Linked DNA regions of Saccharomyces cerevisiae S288C. The protein of the gene in region 3 purifies or fractionates together with the protein of the main gene of each other region. This does not show direct contact. Each region holds a gene or a part of one and is shown on either strand. Other genes may lie near its edges. The genes, in order: RIP1, DLD1, PET9 and QCR10.

Region 1 (3,233 bases), on a different chromosome or scaffold from region 3:
GAGGAAGGGCAGGAACTCCACATGGGTCAAAAAGCAAGTTATTTTGCAACGACATACAATTCAAGATTATTTGACAGTAAATACTCCCAATTAAAAAAGAAATTCATGGACTGGGATAGTAATTCCTGGACAGATATTCCAGATGATTTAAAAATATACCTACAGCAAGATGAATCGCTTTAGCATTAAAAAAACCCCTTCGGTACGTAATATAAAAAATTTTATAGGTAATATACATATATAAAAATACTTCAATCATTTTTACAATCTTGTATACTTTATACAACATGTGAAATCTTCTGCTTCTGGACATCAATATTCAAATACAGGCCAATCTTAGGTAAAACATTTGGAGAAAAGAAGGATAAGGCAGGACGAGGGAAGATAAATAGTTTCGTTAATTATAAATACATGCAGATAAATAAAGGAATATCAAATATTATGAATAGAAAAAGAAGATGGTGAGACAAAAAAGTAGTAATAAATAGGTCCAAATCTTCTTTATTTCCCCTTTCTTTTCTTATCCTTTTGTTTTCTCCATATTGTATAAGAATATATTCTTAGGAAAATCAACAGGGAATACAGTATAGTGATTTTCGTTCCTTTTTGAGCGTAATCCCTTCGAGACTGTGATGTTGATTATTTTTGTTGTGATTTCAAAATTCTTAGGTTAGTTGTATAGTTCCCGTTCATAACATAATGGATAGTAAATGAAAAATCAAAATAAGGGTGAAACAAATAGACAATAAAGATGTAGTTTTCGAGGACGAAAAACAAACCTAACCAACAATGACCTTATCACCATCGAATTCATAAGCAGGAATTTCTAAGTTTAAGGGGGCAGGTCCCTTTCTGATTCTACCGGAAATATCATAATGTGAACCATGGCAAGGACAGAACCAACCACCAAAATCACCGGCTTCACCAATTGGAACACAACCTAAGTGAGTACAAATACCCAGCATAATTAACCATTGAGGGTCTTTGACTCTGTCAGCATCGGTCTGTGGGTCCTTCAAAGCGGACATATCCACACTGTTGGCTTCCTGAATTTCATGAGGAGTTCTGTGTCTAATGAACACAGGCTTACCTTGCCATTTGACAACCACGTTTTTACCCAATGGGATAGCCGCTAAATTAACTTCAACTTTAGCCATAGCCAAAACATCGGCAGTAGCGGTCATAGATGAAATAAAGGTTTCTACGGTTGATTTGGCACCTGCAGATGACAAAAGACCCATAGCACCGACCATAAAGTAAGCATAAGAACGGCCTTTATCAGCATCGTTATTTTCCTTTAAAACGTCATCAAAATTTGGGGTCCTGTACGTGGATTTGCTAGCCAGCAAAGATTGAGAAATCAGTCTTTTGGAAGTTAAAGACATTGGCTTGAAGCAGGTCTTGACAGATGATCTTATTCCTAACATGTTTGTTATTGCTCCTTTCGGTTTCCTAATAAGTGTTAGAGTGATATTATTTATGTTCAATAATTTCTTGGTTTTTAAAAGACGTTGAACTTGAAAGCAACAAAAAGTTACGACAGAGAAGTAATATATTACTTGATATTCAAGAACCAACTATAGTTCTTGCAGGTCTTTTTCCAGTCCTTATAAGGGAGCCTCCGCGTCGCCGCACGTGACCCAAGACCGATAAATGGCGCAAAACGCTGATTGGTCCGTTATGGAGTGTCTAAAAGGAAAAAGATGCGCTATGGACGAACCTGAAAGAGGCCAAATGATAGGGAAGCTTAGAGTGAAAGGTGGAACAGGAGAAGTTGAAAGGATGAAATACACAAGATGACAAGAAGGCTCGAATTAAAGGCGGCTAGTTATTTCAATTTAGGAAGCATTTGCTCTAAGAGTCGATGGGTCGTACTTCATGCACATTATATTACGCATGAATAGCCGCCCAAGCTATATGAACTTATTGGTGGATTTTTGAAACCAATAAAAAGGATTTATGAGAAAGAATAATCTTCCTCTGGGGTATTCATAGCTATCAACGTATGGTTACCTTGTCTTAGTCGGACACTGGACATAACTCTTACAATGGCTGTTAGCTTCTCAATTGACAATGGTATTTAATATACCAGGCGGTTAAAGAAAGGGTAGGTATTTTTTTCTACCTAGTTCAGTTTATATGGATGAGACAGGGATAGACGGGCATGTACGGAGTTTTTCGACTTGATCAGTGCAATCCACTGATTATCGTTTTATGTAGGTATTTTCTTGAGTTACAAAATTTTAGGGAAAGTATGGATACAACCAGAGAGCCGATGTGGTGTTTTTTTTGGTTTTTAGTACATGCAGTACGCTTCTTTTTCTATTTCCTGTATACTTCCTTTAAGCGTATTCGTCGTTATAGGTTCTATTTGCTTTCAACTGAACGCGCTTGCCTGAACGCCTAAAGCGGAAAGAAATACATGACTGAAAAACAGACATTCTGGTCGCAACTCAGCGAAAGGGAGGGTAGAAAAATATATTGTGTTATAATGTCAGCGTTAGCGCATTGCATATTGCACTAGCCATTGCCACGTAAAATGGCAAGACAAGATGAAACGGACTGCAAAAAATTGGATAGCAATTCGGCCTTTTTACCTTTATGCATAACATCTTATAGATCAAAAGATGAGGCTGAGAAGCTGGTAAGTTGTCTTCATCACGAAGGAAGTTACTTTTTATGTTTTAGCTATGGATTGTATACCGGAACGTCCAACGAATTGAAAGCGAAGGTTGAGTTCGCTTTAGATGGACCGTTCGTTGTTAACTACGCAACTGTACCGATGTTCATGTCAGCTTCCTTCTGTCACCTGCTAATGTTTAACGACGGTTCCATTAAGGGATTCAAATGCGAAAATAACAAATTTGAAATTATCTACGACTCTAATGTGGCTCCGAAACTGGATACTATTTCTTTATTAACTTCCAGCTGGTTAAATGCTTCCTTTGAGGGTGTTTTATACACTTGCAATAAAAACATATCATATGATAGTGATTTGCATACGTTATGTACGACAATTTACTCCTTTGACTTCAGAGAAGGAATAGTCGAAAGATTTTATGCCACCGATGGCGAAGAAATTATCTCCTTTGATTTTATTAGCAGGGAGGATTTGCTTGACGACGCCACATGCACAGGTAAATCACACGTTTATTTTCTTTGCCTACTTAAGAGTTGCTATAGTGAAAACCTGTTTTTAAAGGAATACAATCTTGCTGGAAAGCATGGAAGTA
Region 2 (4,406 bases), on a different chromosome or scaffold from region 3:
ACTACGTATCTACCAAGTAATGGTGGTATCGTTCAACGTGATTACAAACTATTGAAAGAATTAGCTAGTCAAGTCTAAAAAGCTTGAGTTATTATTTATTTTATGATCGTATATTATTTATTTATTTATTTATTTATTTATTTATTTATTTATTTATTTATTTATTTTATTTAGTTTATTAATTTTGCTGATGAATGTTATTTCAATTAAACATAGTTTTCAAAGAACTGAAAAACCCTGATTTCTTCTTCTTCTTCTTCTTCTTCTCTTTACCATTGTCATCTTTCAAATTAAACTTATCTTCATCATCATCGTTTAAGTTATGGTTGATAGTGTTCCTGCTTGACTTTGGAGAAATTATGTTTCCAGCGCCACCTCTTCCAATAGCAAATTTTTCCGGTGCGCTTTTGCCCTTGAGCTTATTTTTAGGCTTCTTGGACGTGGACTTGATTGCCGCCAAAGCATTGCCATTGGAAGTCACCACAAACAGGTTGTCCTCGTTTGCATTGATAGTATCCTCATCCTCGATATTGCCGCCTCGTATCTCATCCTCTTCATTTCCACCATTGCTGGCCACCTTTTTTTTGTTGAAGAAAATGTTTCCTGCCCCACCTCTACCAACGACAATTGGGGCGTTGTTGTTCGGAGACGAAGTGGTGGCATGCAAAGACTGATGGCTCCTTGTAGCGCTGATACGAGACCTGGTGTTGGTCACCGGGTTTGACCCACCTTCATCCACCATATCCGAAGTTATAGGGGAAATATAATCGTCGATGTCATTGATCACGTCGTTATAGTTGATATTGTCGTTAGAGTCCAGTTGTTGGGCGGATCTCGTCAGGTGCGGATCATGAAAGATATTACCGGCACCACCTCTACCAATTGCAAAACGAGGAACCTTTTCCTGGTTGCTACCGTTATTATTGTTGTTTGCTACTGTCTTTGAATTGGATTTCAATGGAAGAAGTACGGGAGACGGCTTGGACATAGATTTATGGATGTTGCCAGCTCCGCCTCTGCCAGTGGAGACCTTGTACTCTTGTACACGTGCCTGGTTCTCCATCTCGTTTTGTGGGTTGAACGTAGCCATACTAACTTGGTCTTACGCTACTGCTGCTGCTAACGCTGCTGCTGCTTTTGCTCATATGCTTCCATTGACCGTCATTAGTATCAGCGTCAGCCTTTTTGACATAAGCCACCGCTCTGTCAGGGTAACCCTATGAAACATTTCAAAACGTTATAAAGGAACTCGTCTGGTTACAACAAGGAAATATCACTACAAACAGCTGTCCGTACGGCTCCTCAACTCTCTCAATGTTGTTCGCCTGGTCACACACAGCATAGTTTCGTCATTCGGCGCCGACGGTCGCTGTCTCTTGGAGCCTTCAAGCTCTTGTCAACCCAGGTCCGTTGTGCCGATAAAAGTAACAGCAGACCCCCACGCCCGCATCCCACTCTCTTCTCCGACCACCTCCCTCGAAGTTCTTCCCTGCCAATCCCACGTCGATCCAGCGTAGTTGGCCCCAACTGGTGCAGTAATAACCGCTTAGCGATTTTGCACTCGGAACTACATATGTATATATATATGTGTGTGTGTGTGTGGGCTGGAAAGATTTCTTGAGCTTCCGTGTTATAGTGCAATTTAAATATTGTACATCATTCCGATCCAGCTGGAAACAAAAGCAAGAACAATGTTGTGGAAGCGTACTTGCACAAGGCTAATAAAGCCTATTGCACAACCTAGAGGAAGGCTGGTGAGAAGATCATGCTACAGATACGCCTCAACAGGCACAGGCAGCACCGACAGCAGCAGCCAGTGGTTAAAATACTCTGTCATCGCCTCTTCAGCTACTCTATTCGGTTATTTGTTCGCTAAGAACCTCTATTCTAGGGAGACTAAGGAAGATTTGATAGAGAAGCTGGAAATGGTCAAAAAGATCGACCCAGTAAATTCTACGTTAAAGCTGTCCTCATTGGACTCACCAGACTATTTGCACGACCCGGTTAAGATCGATAAGGTTGTTGAGGACCTGAAGCAGGTGCTGGGAAACAAGCCTGAAAACTACTCTGATGCGAAATCCGATTTGGACGCCCATTCAGATACCTACTTCAACACGCATCACCCCTCTCCCGAGCAAAGACCTAGGATTATATTATTCCCTCATACTACCGAAGAAGTTTCCAAAATTTTGAAAATATGTCACGATAACAACATGCCAGTTGTACCCTTCTCGGGCGGAACGTCCTTGGAGGGGCACTTCCTGCCTACAAGAATTGGAGATACCATAACCGTAGACCTGTCCAAGTTTATGAATAACGTCGTAAAATTTGACAAGCTGGACCTGGACATCACCGTGCAGGCCGGTCTACCCTGGGAGGATTTGAATGACTATTTGAGCGACCACGGTTTGATGTTTGGCTGTGACCCTGGTCCAGGTGCACAGATTGGTGGTTGCATTGCTAATTCTTGTTCAGGAACCAACGCCTACCGTTACGGTACCATGAAGGAGAATATTATAAACATGACTATAGTGTTGCCGGACGGGACCATTGTCAAGACGAAGAAAAGACCCAGAAAGTCGAGCGCTGGCTATAACTTAAATGGTTTATTTGTGGGAAGTGAAGGTACCTTAGGTATTGTTACTGAAGCTACTGTCAAGTGTCATGTCAAGCCCAAAGCTGAAACTGTTGCGGTGGTATCCTTTGATACTATCAAGGATGCGGCCGCATGTGCTTCTAATCTGACTCAGAGTGGTATTCATTTGAACGCCATGGAGTTACTGGATGAAAATATGATGAAGTTGATCAACGCATCTGAATCCACGGACAGATGTGATTGGGTAGAGAAACCAACTATGTTTTTCAAGATTGGTGGGAGATCTCCCAACATTGTCAATGCTCTTGTGGATGAAGTTAAGGCTGTCGCCCAGTTAAATCACTGCAACAGTTTTCAGTTTGCTAAAGATGATGACGAAAAATTGGAATTATGGGAAGCTAGAAAGGTCGCGCTATGGTCTGTGCTAGACGCTGATAAGAGCAAAGACAAATCAGCTAAAATTTGGACAACTGATGTAGCTGTTCCTGTGTCGCAGTTCGACAAGGTTATTCACGAAACTAAAAAGGACATGCAAGCTAGTAAGCTGATCAACGCCATTGTTGGTCATGCAGGTGATGGTAACTTCCATGCATTCATCGTCTACAGAACCCCTGAAGAACACGAAACCTGTAGCCAACTTGTTGACAGAATGGTCAAGAGAGCACTGAACGCAGAAGGCACTTGCACGGGTGAACACGGTGTTGGTATTGGTAAAAGAGAGTACTTGCTCGAAGAATTAGGTGAAGCACCCGTCGATTTGATGAGAAAGATTAAGCTAGCTATTGACCCAAAGAGAATCATGAACCCGGACAAAATCTTTAAAACTGATCCAAACGAGCCCGCTAATGATTACAGGTGAGTATCTGATTTTCCTTTTTCACCCTTCACGTAAACCTGAAATATATTTCATGTAATATATATAGTTCATCCTTAAAGAAAACATACCATTTCAAAATGCCCTTTCCCAGTAGCTAATACATGCTTAAAAATGTGATATATATTATTACCATCAAATGTATTCATGATCCGGGTAGTGCCTTTTTTTCCTTCAAACACTAATGGGATGGGAAGAAACATTTCGAAAAAAGTTATGACTATTGGCAGCATCAGAGAGAATTAAACCTTACCTGTACAACGATAGCAGCTTACATCACTTCCTCGCAGTCATGGAAAAAAATACGGCACCATTTGTCGTCGATACGGCACCCACAACTCCTCCAGATAAACTTGTAGCACCTTCTATAGAGGAAGTAAATAGTAATCCCAACGAATTAAGAGCTCTTAGAGGGCAGGGTAGATATTTTGGCGTAAGCGATGATGACAAGGATGCCATTAAAGAGGCAGCACCTAAATGTAATAATTGCTCTCAAAGAGGTCATTTGAAGAAGGATTGTCCCCATATAATATGTTCGTACTGTGGGGCGACGGATGATCATTATTCTCGACATTGTCCGAAGGCTATCCAGTGTTCAAAGTGTGATGAGGTGGGTCATTACAGGTCACAATGTCCACATAAATGGAAAAAAGTTCAGTGCACTCTTTGTAAGAGTAAGAAACACTCAAAAGAAAGATGTCCTAGTATATGGAGAGCATATATTTTAGTAGATGATAATGAAAAGGCTAAGCCCAAGGTCCTTCCCTTTCATACTATATACTGTTATAACTGCGGTGGAAAGGGGCACTTTGGTGATGATTGCAAGGAAAAACGATCATCTAGAGTACCTAACGAGGATGGAAGTGCGTTCACTGGTTCTAATTTGTCAGTTGAGCTAAAACAGGAATATTACCGTCACATGAACAGAAATTCGGA
Region 3 (3,493 bases):
AAAAAAAAAAGAGAAAAACATGATAAAAATTGCATATATGTGGGTAGAAACCTTAAAAGTTATAATAAAGGGAATCCCACGCAGGAGCGGCATGGGAAGATAATATAATGAAACGAGCAAAAAATGGAGTCAACGTATGGCGTATTAAGATTGTGTTTATTTTTATGCAGGAAGGGGAATCGCACAGATAGTCAATAACCAACTGGCCGACTAACTGCATAAGAAATCGTTGTTTTTTTTTTCGAAGGCTCATTCAGATAAAGAAATCACTACGCGTTTTGTCTGTGAAGTCACAGATTTGAAAAATGAGAACGAAAAACATAACCACCTATGAGATTGAGTCCCTACATTTTACCATTTACGCTACTAAGTTACCCAATATCGTAACACGAAATAACAAGTTAAGGGGAGGAATGAAAAGGTTATCAAAGCGGCAGGAGACAGGAGGAATAACGCAGGACGAGACCCAAAGATAATATTTCTATAACGAAGTCGTTCGAACCCATCAGATTTCTGCTTTGATTACATACACAAGCTTTGTTTCTTTCTACAGGTGATTGTATGTGGGCTTATGGTATGCCTGCAGGACGCGTATGCATGTACGACGGCACGACCCGGAGCAAAACGGCGAGTGCTCTAACGCGGTGTATGGGCTAGATTCGTAATAGGGCTCTGGGTTTGCTGCAAGGGGTAATTATCAGCGATGGAATGACTCCGTTACCGCCCGACGCTATGTACGCCTTTTCCGCGTGCGCCGGTCTTTACCGGCAGGGGAGAATGTGGTGACGGCGGAGCCGGCGTATGGTGCCTCTACAAAAAATACGAAGTCTCATTTTAGTCACACTGATTTTCATAAGAAATGAGGAAAAAGAAAAGAGATGAAAATTGAGAAAAAAAAAAAAGCATTGTCGGGTAACAAATTATGTAGTGAAGATCAAAGGATATACACACAAACGAAGATGCGCATTAGCCACGTCCATCCCTTTCCCTTTTTCCCTTTCTACTCCGTTTTTACAATAATGTACGTTATAAAACAAGCGGCTGAAGAACAAGTTGGGAATAAATGTCAGCAAGGAAGATTGGTGTAAAGTGAAATCAGATAAGCAACTTAATACACAACCTCAAAAAGAAAAAATTACCATGTCATTCATACCTATTGTATGTGGTATGAAGAGTTTCGACTCTTCATACGATACCGTTCCCGGACATCAAAACCTGTATTGCCCGAATTGTCACAATTATAGTGTCGGCCCCATAAAAAGAAAGGAATTTTTCACTATTTGGTTTATACCGTTGGTTCCGGTCTTCTGGGGAAAACAGTTGCACTGCCCCATATGCAATTGGCGACAAGATTTTAAGAATGACGAACAGCTTAATAAAGTCATTCAAGAACAACAAAACTTACGACAAAAGCAGCCCAACTGATAACGAAATAATTTCCTTTTCTTCCTCTTATATATGTATTTATATATATGTGTTCACTATAACCATACATATATTATACAGAAGTATAGACACGATTTTTCCATACGTAACAAATAACATCACGATGCACGAGCACTGTTTCCAATGGAGAACAAGCGAAAGGCGGTAAATGCGCTATGCTGATTGGTGTAGAGCGCGGGCCAATGAGAAGGCCCCACTCTCAGAGGGTGAGGTGCGATTATCGGGGACATGTCTCCGTCGATCGGGCCCACGTCGTCGCACAATATAAATACCATTTGAGTTTTTAATATTAATTTTTCACGACAACCCACTCAAAAAAGTATATATTCACTGTTAGTTATACGGAACATTGCAATACATCTACAAGTCAAAGGAGCCCCTCTATATTATTTATATTTGTCGTTGTTCTTTTTTGTGTGCTCTTTTATACTTCAGAATCATACATTAACATACATATAAGCAAATAGCCATGTCTTCCAACGCCCAAGTCAAAACCCCATTACCTCCAGCCCCAGCTCCAAAGAAGGAATCTAACTTTTTGATTGATTTCTTAATGGGTGGTGTCAGTGCCGCTGTCGCCAAAACTGCTGCATCTCCCATCGAAAGAGTTAAACTTTTGATCCAAAACCAAGATGAAATGTTAAAACAAGGTACTTTGGACAGAAAATACGCAGGTATCTTAGACTGTTTCAAGAGAACCGCTACACAGGAAGGTGTTATCTCATTCTGGAGAGGTAACACTGCTAACGTTATCCGTTATTTCCCCACTCAAGCTTTGAATTTCGCCTTCAAGGACAAGATCAAGGCCATGTTTGGTTTCAAGAAGGAAGAAGGTTACGCCAAATGGTTTGCCGGTAACTTGGCATCTGGTGGTGCTGCTGGTGCCTTGTCATTACTATTTGTTTACTCTTTGGATTATGCAAGAACTAGATTGGCTGCTGACTCCAAGTCCTCTAAAAAGGGTGGTGCTCGTCAATTCAACGGTTTGATCGATGTCTACAAGAAGACCTTAAAATCTGATGGTGTTGCTGGTCTTTACAGAGGTTTCTTACCTTCTGTCGTTGGTATTGTTGTCTACAGAGGTCTATACTTCGGTATGTACGATTCTTTGAAGCCTCTATTGTTGACTGGTTCTTTGGAAGGTTCATTCTTGGCTTCATTCTTGTTGGGTTGGGTTGTTACTACTGGTGCTTCTACATGTTCTTACCCATTGGATACCGTTAGAAGAAGAATGATGATGACCTCCGGTCAAGCTGTTAAGTACGACGGTGCCTTTGACTGTTTGAGGAAGATTGTTGCTGCTGAAGGTGTTGGTTCTCTATTCAAGGGTTGTGGTGCTAACATCTTAAGAGGTGTCGCAGGTGCTGGTGTTATCTCAATGTACGACCAACTGCAAATGATCTTGTTTGGTAAGAAGTTCAAATAAGTCTAATCTGGCTTGATTCTTAATCTAAATTCTTTCTCACATTTTCCTTTTTTTCTTCTTTGGATTTTTGGTGTTTAATGAGTGACACGATTTGTTTTGATAATATTATTATCCTCCTATTTTTTTAGAAATTCTTTTCAACAAGAATCAAAGATTCATAAAAAAAGAAAACGATGAAATTTTTTGAACAACTTTTACGTATAAAGAAGAAAAAAAAAAAATTCTAAATATCCAGTAAATAGTTTTATATTAGTAGTATTCTTTCCCACTTTTTAAATGTCATCACATGATGTTTCTTATAAAATGCAATTTTTTTATTACTTAATCACCGCCAAATAGGTCTATCACTCTTTGTGCCGGTGGCAGTACTTTGCTTAAGGTTACTGGACAATGAACCACTTGTCTTACTTTTAACCAACCGAGTCTTTACATTTGTGTGTTCCTTGGATTTTGCAGAGGTTCCTGACGATAAGTTGTTCATAGACGTCGACCTAGAGAACGTTGTTTGCTTGTAAAGTCTATCAAAAACGGAAACTGAATTCTTCAATTGCGAATTTGTTCCTTGCGCAACTGGCGTGCGTTCTACCGGTTTGGTTTTGGCGTGTAAATCTCTTATTGATA
Region 4 (3,162 bases), on a different chromosome or scaffold from region 3:
AGTTTTCAAGTGCTTGGATTTACACTATTTGAGGTTATTTTAAGAGATGATCTTTCAAGGGTTTTAAATATTAATTATAATATTATTTGGTCTTTTCTTCCGGCGGGTTGAAAGTTCCAGCTGCGGGAGGAAGGTAAAGTACTCCATTTGAAAAAATAGAAATTACAAGAAACGGCGTTAGCATTGGCGTATGCCTAAATCATCAAAATGGCGAATGAAATAGGTTTCCCTGAAAACATAGAGATGTGCTGCCCAATTACAAAGCTCAAAAGATACATAAAAAGAGGAAAAACAAACCTGTAGTTAACTTTTCCCTACTCTTTGATAACTGATGTTTTAGTAAATATTCTGAAAATAGAGGGGTAAATATTTAAAAATGTTGTATGGATCAATTACTTTTTATACCTTTTATGATCCAGTTTAAAAATATGTATAGATAATCGAGAATATGCAAAAATAAAAAAAAATACAAATGTGTTTTGCATTAATTCCTCTTCCAAAATGATAGAAAAGAACGTAAAACAAATAAATAAAATCACTCAGCCGGTTGGATGTTTTGGCTTCAATTAGGTTTATCTTCTGGTGGAGTATGATCTTCCAATGTAGGTCCTAACAACGGAATCTTTTTGTATAGCGTATCTTGAAACTTAGGCCATCCTTCTGTGAATACAAATAGCCCAAGCATGCTAGCACCACCCCATAACATTAAATTCGGAGCATAAGCTGTTAAACTTCTTAAAGAAAGTCTACCGAAATGTAGACCAGTTTTTGAAGACAGATGAGAAGTGTACTGTATTATAAATGTTAGTATACTAATTCGGTTCTAGCTCACATAATATGATAGGATACTTACCGCCATTGAGGTTAGTTTTAAGTCTTATGGATTGTATTTATCGATATATTATTCGACTTGCGCTTTTGCTGTGAAGATTATTCCAGAAGATATCTATAACAAATTATGCATTCAAACTGTTATGTGATATATCCCGTCCCCTTGATAAATGGTATGGTTTTTTGATGCGGAAACAACGGGTTGAACCATATTTAGTTTTAATTGGATCAAAATCACGTGACAAAATACTACTTTGCAATAGTAATACGCACTTGAAAACTATGTAAATATAAGTATATATTCAAAGTGCGACAGCGTTATATCGCATAGCATTCTTCAGTCATTAGAGGTAGTGGTGAAGATTGAGGACAGTTTCGCGGCTCGTAACGTTAGCAAAAACTACCCATAACTAGGTGCATATTACACTGATATTAAATTACAGAGTGAGAAATCGTACTAGTATAATTAAAATAGAATGAGAAGCCTAATTCTTTTGGATTCCATGCTTTTTATAAGCCGGAATAGAAAATTTTTCAGTGAATGTCTGTCCTGGTAAAATCGGGGCAGTTTCCAAAATGCTCCTGATCTGTTCTTCATGCTTGTCGGTCCCTTCAGGGATGTGCTTGTAAATATAATAATCTAAATCCTCACCTGGCTCTGCCCTTCTAAATAGTTTTGAATGAAATTCAACGCCGTCTTCGGCCCTCTTTTTGGCCAGCTCTCTTTGGCGGTTTTCTATCTGAAACTTTTCTTCTGTAGCTACTTCATGGTCACGTACAGCCAGCGCATCCGTAACCTTCTTCCAAAGCCTTCTCGATTCGTATTCTCCCTGTTCCTCCAATGGGCGGACTTTAGGAGCTAGAGGAAAATGCTGATGAGTATCGAAGAGAACAGTCTTTTTAGAGCTTTTTTCCCTCAAATCTTTGATATACATAATATCATTCCACTTACCACTAATTTGGTAGTATTCCTTACCATCGTAATCCTTAATTGTACCTTCAATTGCATCATAGGTACCAGAAATAAAGCCCTTTGTTTTGAACTCAATATCCACTTGATACTTAGGACCCATAATGACCATGTGATCTCCCAATTCAATCCTCATCTTGCCAAACAGAATTCCCCTTGCGTAAACATTTGGTTGCGATAGAGTATATTTCTCTGGTTTACCATTTGCATCCTTGATATCAAGGAATTGCAATACAGTTAACCCCTCCATCATTGCAGCACTTGAGTTTCCTAAAAATTTCGATTTTGGCACAACAACTCCATCAACTCTAATATTCGATTCTGGAATCATGTAAAAATACGCAGATTCAGGAGGATGGTGACTCGTTTGTTCTGCAATGTAAAAGGCTTGTTGCTTGTTAGGCAAATCCCAATAAGCTGTAAAGTGTTCTCCAAGAATGGGATTTAGGGGCTTCTTCACAGCCCTGGGCCCAATGTGCCAACCTGCTAGGTACCATGCTACCACTTTAACGAACCTTTGCAGCCCGTCTTTATTGGAGTGTGCTTCTAAAAGAACATCTGGGAATTGTAATTGATTAGTGATTCTCTCCAACATCGATTTTTTTTCCAGAATAAATGTCGGAAGTGTGATTCTAGATAAATCACAACCTGGCTTCAGCTGGGAAATAATATTTAATAGAATACTTTGCCCAGATTCATCATTCTCATCGATATCATCCGTGTCTGCTCCGCTTGGTTTGGAATTTGCAGCATTGGATGCAATGCCGTTAATTGAGCTATGAGAACTGTTTGTTAAAGAAGGTATATTCTTTAGTTTATTGAGAGCCATTCTTTGTTTCTAATTTACTGGTTAGTTTCCTATTTCTAAATGAAAGAAGGAGGAATCTTTCCATTTTGAATATATCACATCCCTTCTTTGTTGACGATTTCAGAAAATATACTTTCATCCTTTAGAATTCTGGATTTGCGAGTGACCTCGGAAAAATTAGTACGCACGAGCGAATTAACATTCCTATAATATACTGATACATATTTCGAATTTGATTTAGGTAATCATTGGTGCATTACATTCCTTACCTTGAATGTACAGCTCTAATTACACACAAGTTAAAAAGTAGATAAGAAGAACTCCAACAATTACACATCCACAAAACGATTTAGTATAATAAGTAGGATGGTAATCACATGACTAATAATTCTTTTAATTTTAATTAATTTAATAAAATTAAAATAATATATATACTAAATTGTTTATTAAAAATGATTAAACATTGGGTTTTGTGTTCCGAACTTAGAAAATTGGTTAAGACATTATCTTAAAAACGCGAAAAATAAAAAAATGATTATTGATGTTTATTTCA

What was found.
Region 1: the proteins of PET9 (region 3) and RIP1 purify together in Saccharomyces cerevisiae (affinity purification with western blotting; 3 studies listed by BioGRID, with this or other methods). This does not show direct contact.
Region 2: the proteins of PET9 (region 3) and DLD1 purify together in Saccharomyces cerevisiae (affinity purification with mass spectrometry; 3 studies listed by BioGRID, with this or other methods). This does not show direct contact.
Region 4: the proteins of PET9 (region 3) and QCR10 purify together in Saccharomyces cerevisiae (affinity purification with western blotting; 3 studies listed by BioGRID, with this or other methods). This does not show direct contact.

The regions. Positions count from the first base shown.
Region 1 is NC_001137.3:105,454-108,686, reverse strand, and holds RIP1 (ubiquinol--cytochrome-c reductase catalytic subunit RIP1), read right to left. Parts: upstream 1,428-3,233; coding exon 780-1,427; downstream 1-779. Other genes in the region: YEL023C (uncharacterized protein), read left to right, coding at 1-183; YEL025C (uncharacterized protein), read left to right, coding at 2,540-3,233. UniProt on the Saccharomyces cerevisiae protein: Component of the ubiquinol-cytochrome c oxidoreductase, a multisubunit transmembrane complex that is part of the mitochondrial electron transport chain which drives oxidative phosphorylation.
Region 2 is NC_001136.10:144,875-149,280, reverse strand, and holds DLD1 (D-lactate dehydrogenase), read left to right. Parts: upstream 1-1,691; coding exon 1,692-3,455; downstream 3,456-4,406. Other genes in the region: GLT1 (glutamate synthase (NADH)), read left to right, coding at 1-78; PAR32 (Par32p), read right to left, coding at 203-1,090; AIR2 (TRAMP complex RNA-binding subunit), read left to right, coding at 3,763-4,406. UniProt on the Saccharomyces cerevisiae protein: Catalyzes the stereospecific oxidation of D-lactate to pyruvate.
Region 3 is NC_001134.8:162,420-165,912, reverse strand, and holds PET9 (ADP/ATP carrier protein PET9), read left to right. Parts: upstream 1-1,915; coding exon 1,916-2,872; downstream 2,873-3,493. Other genes in the region: YBL029C-A (uncharacterized protein), read left to right, coding at 1,141-1,425; SHE1 (She1p), read right to left, coding at 3,198-3,493.
Region 4 is NC_001140.6:105,523-108,684, reverse strand, and holds QCR10 (ubiquinol--cytochrome-c reductase subunit 10), read right to left. Parts: upstream 860-3,162; coding exon 854-859; intron 791-853; coding exon 563-790; downstream 1-562. Other genes in the region: oxysterol-binding protein related protein OSH7, read right to left, coding at 1,317-2,630.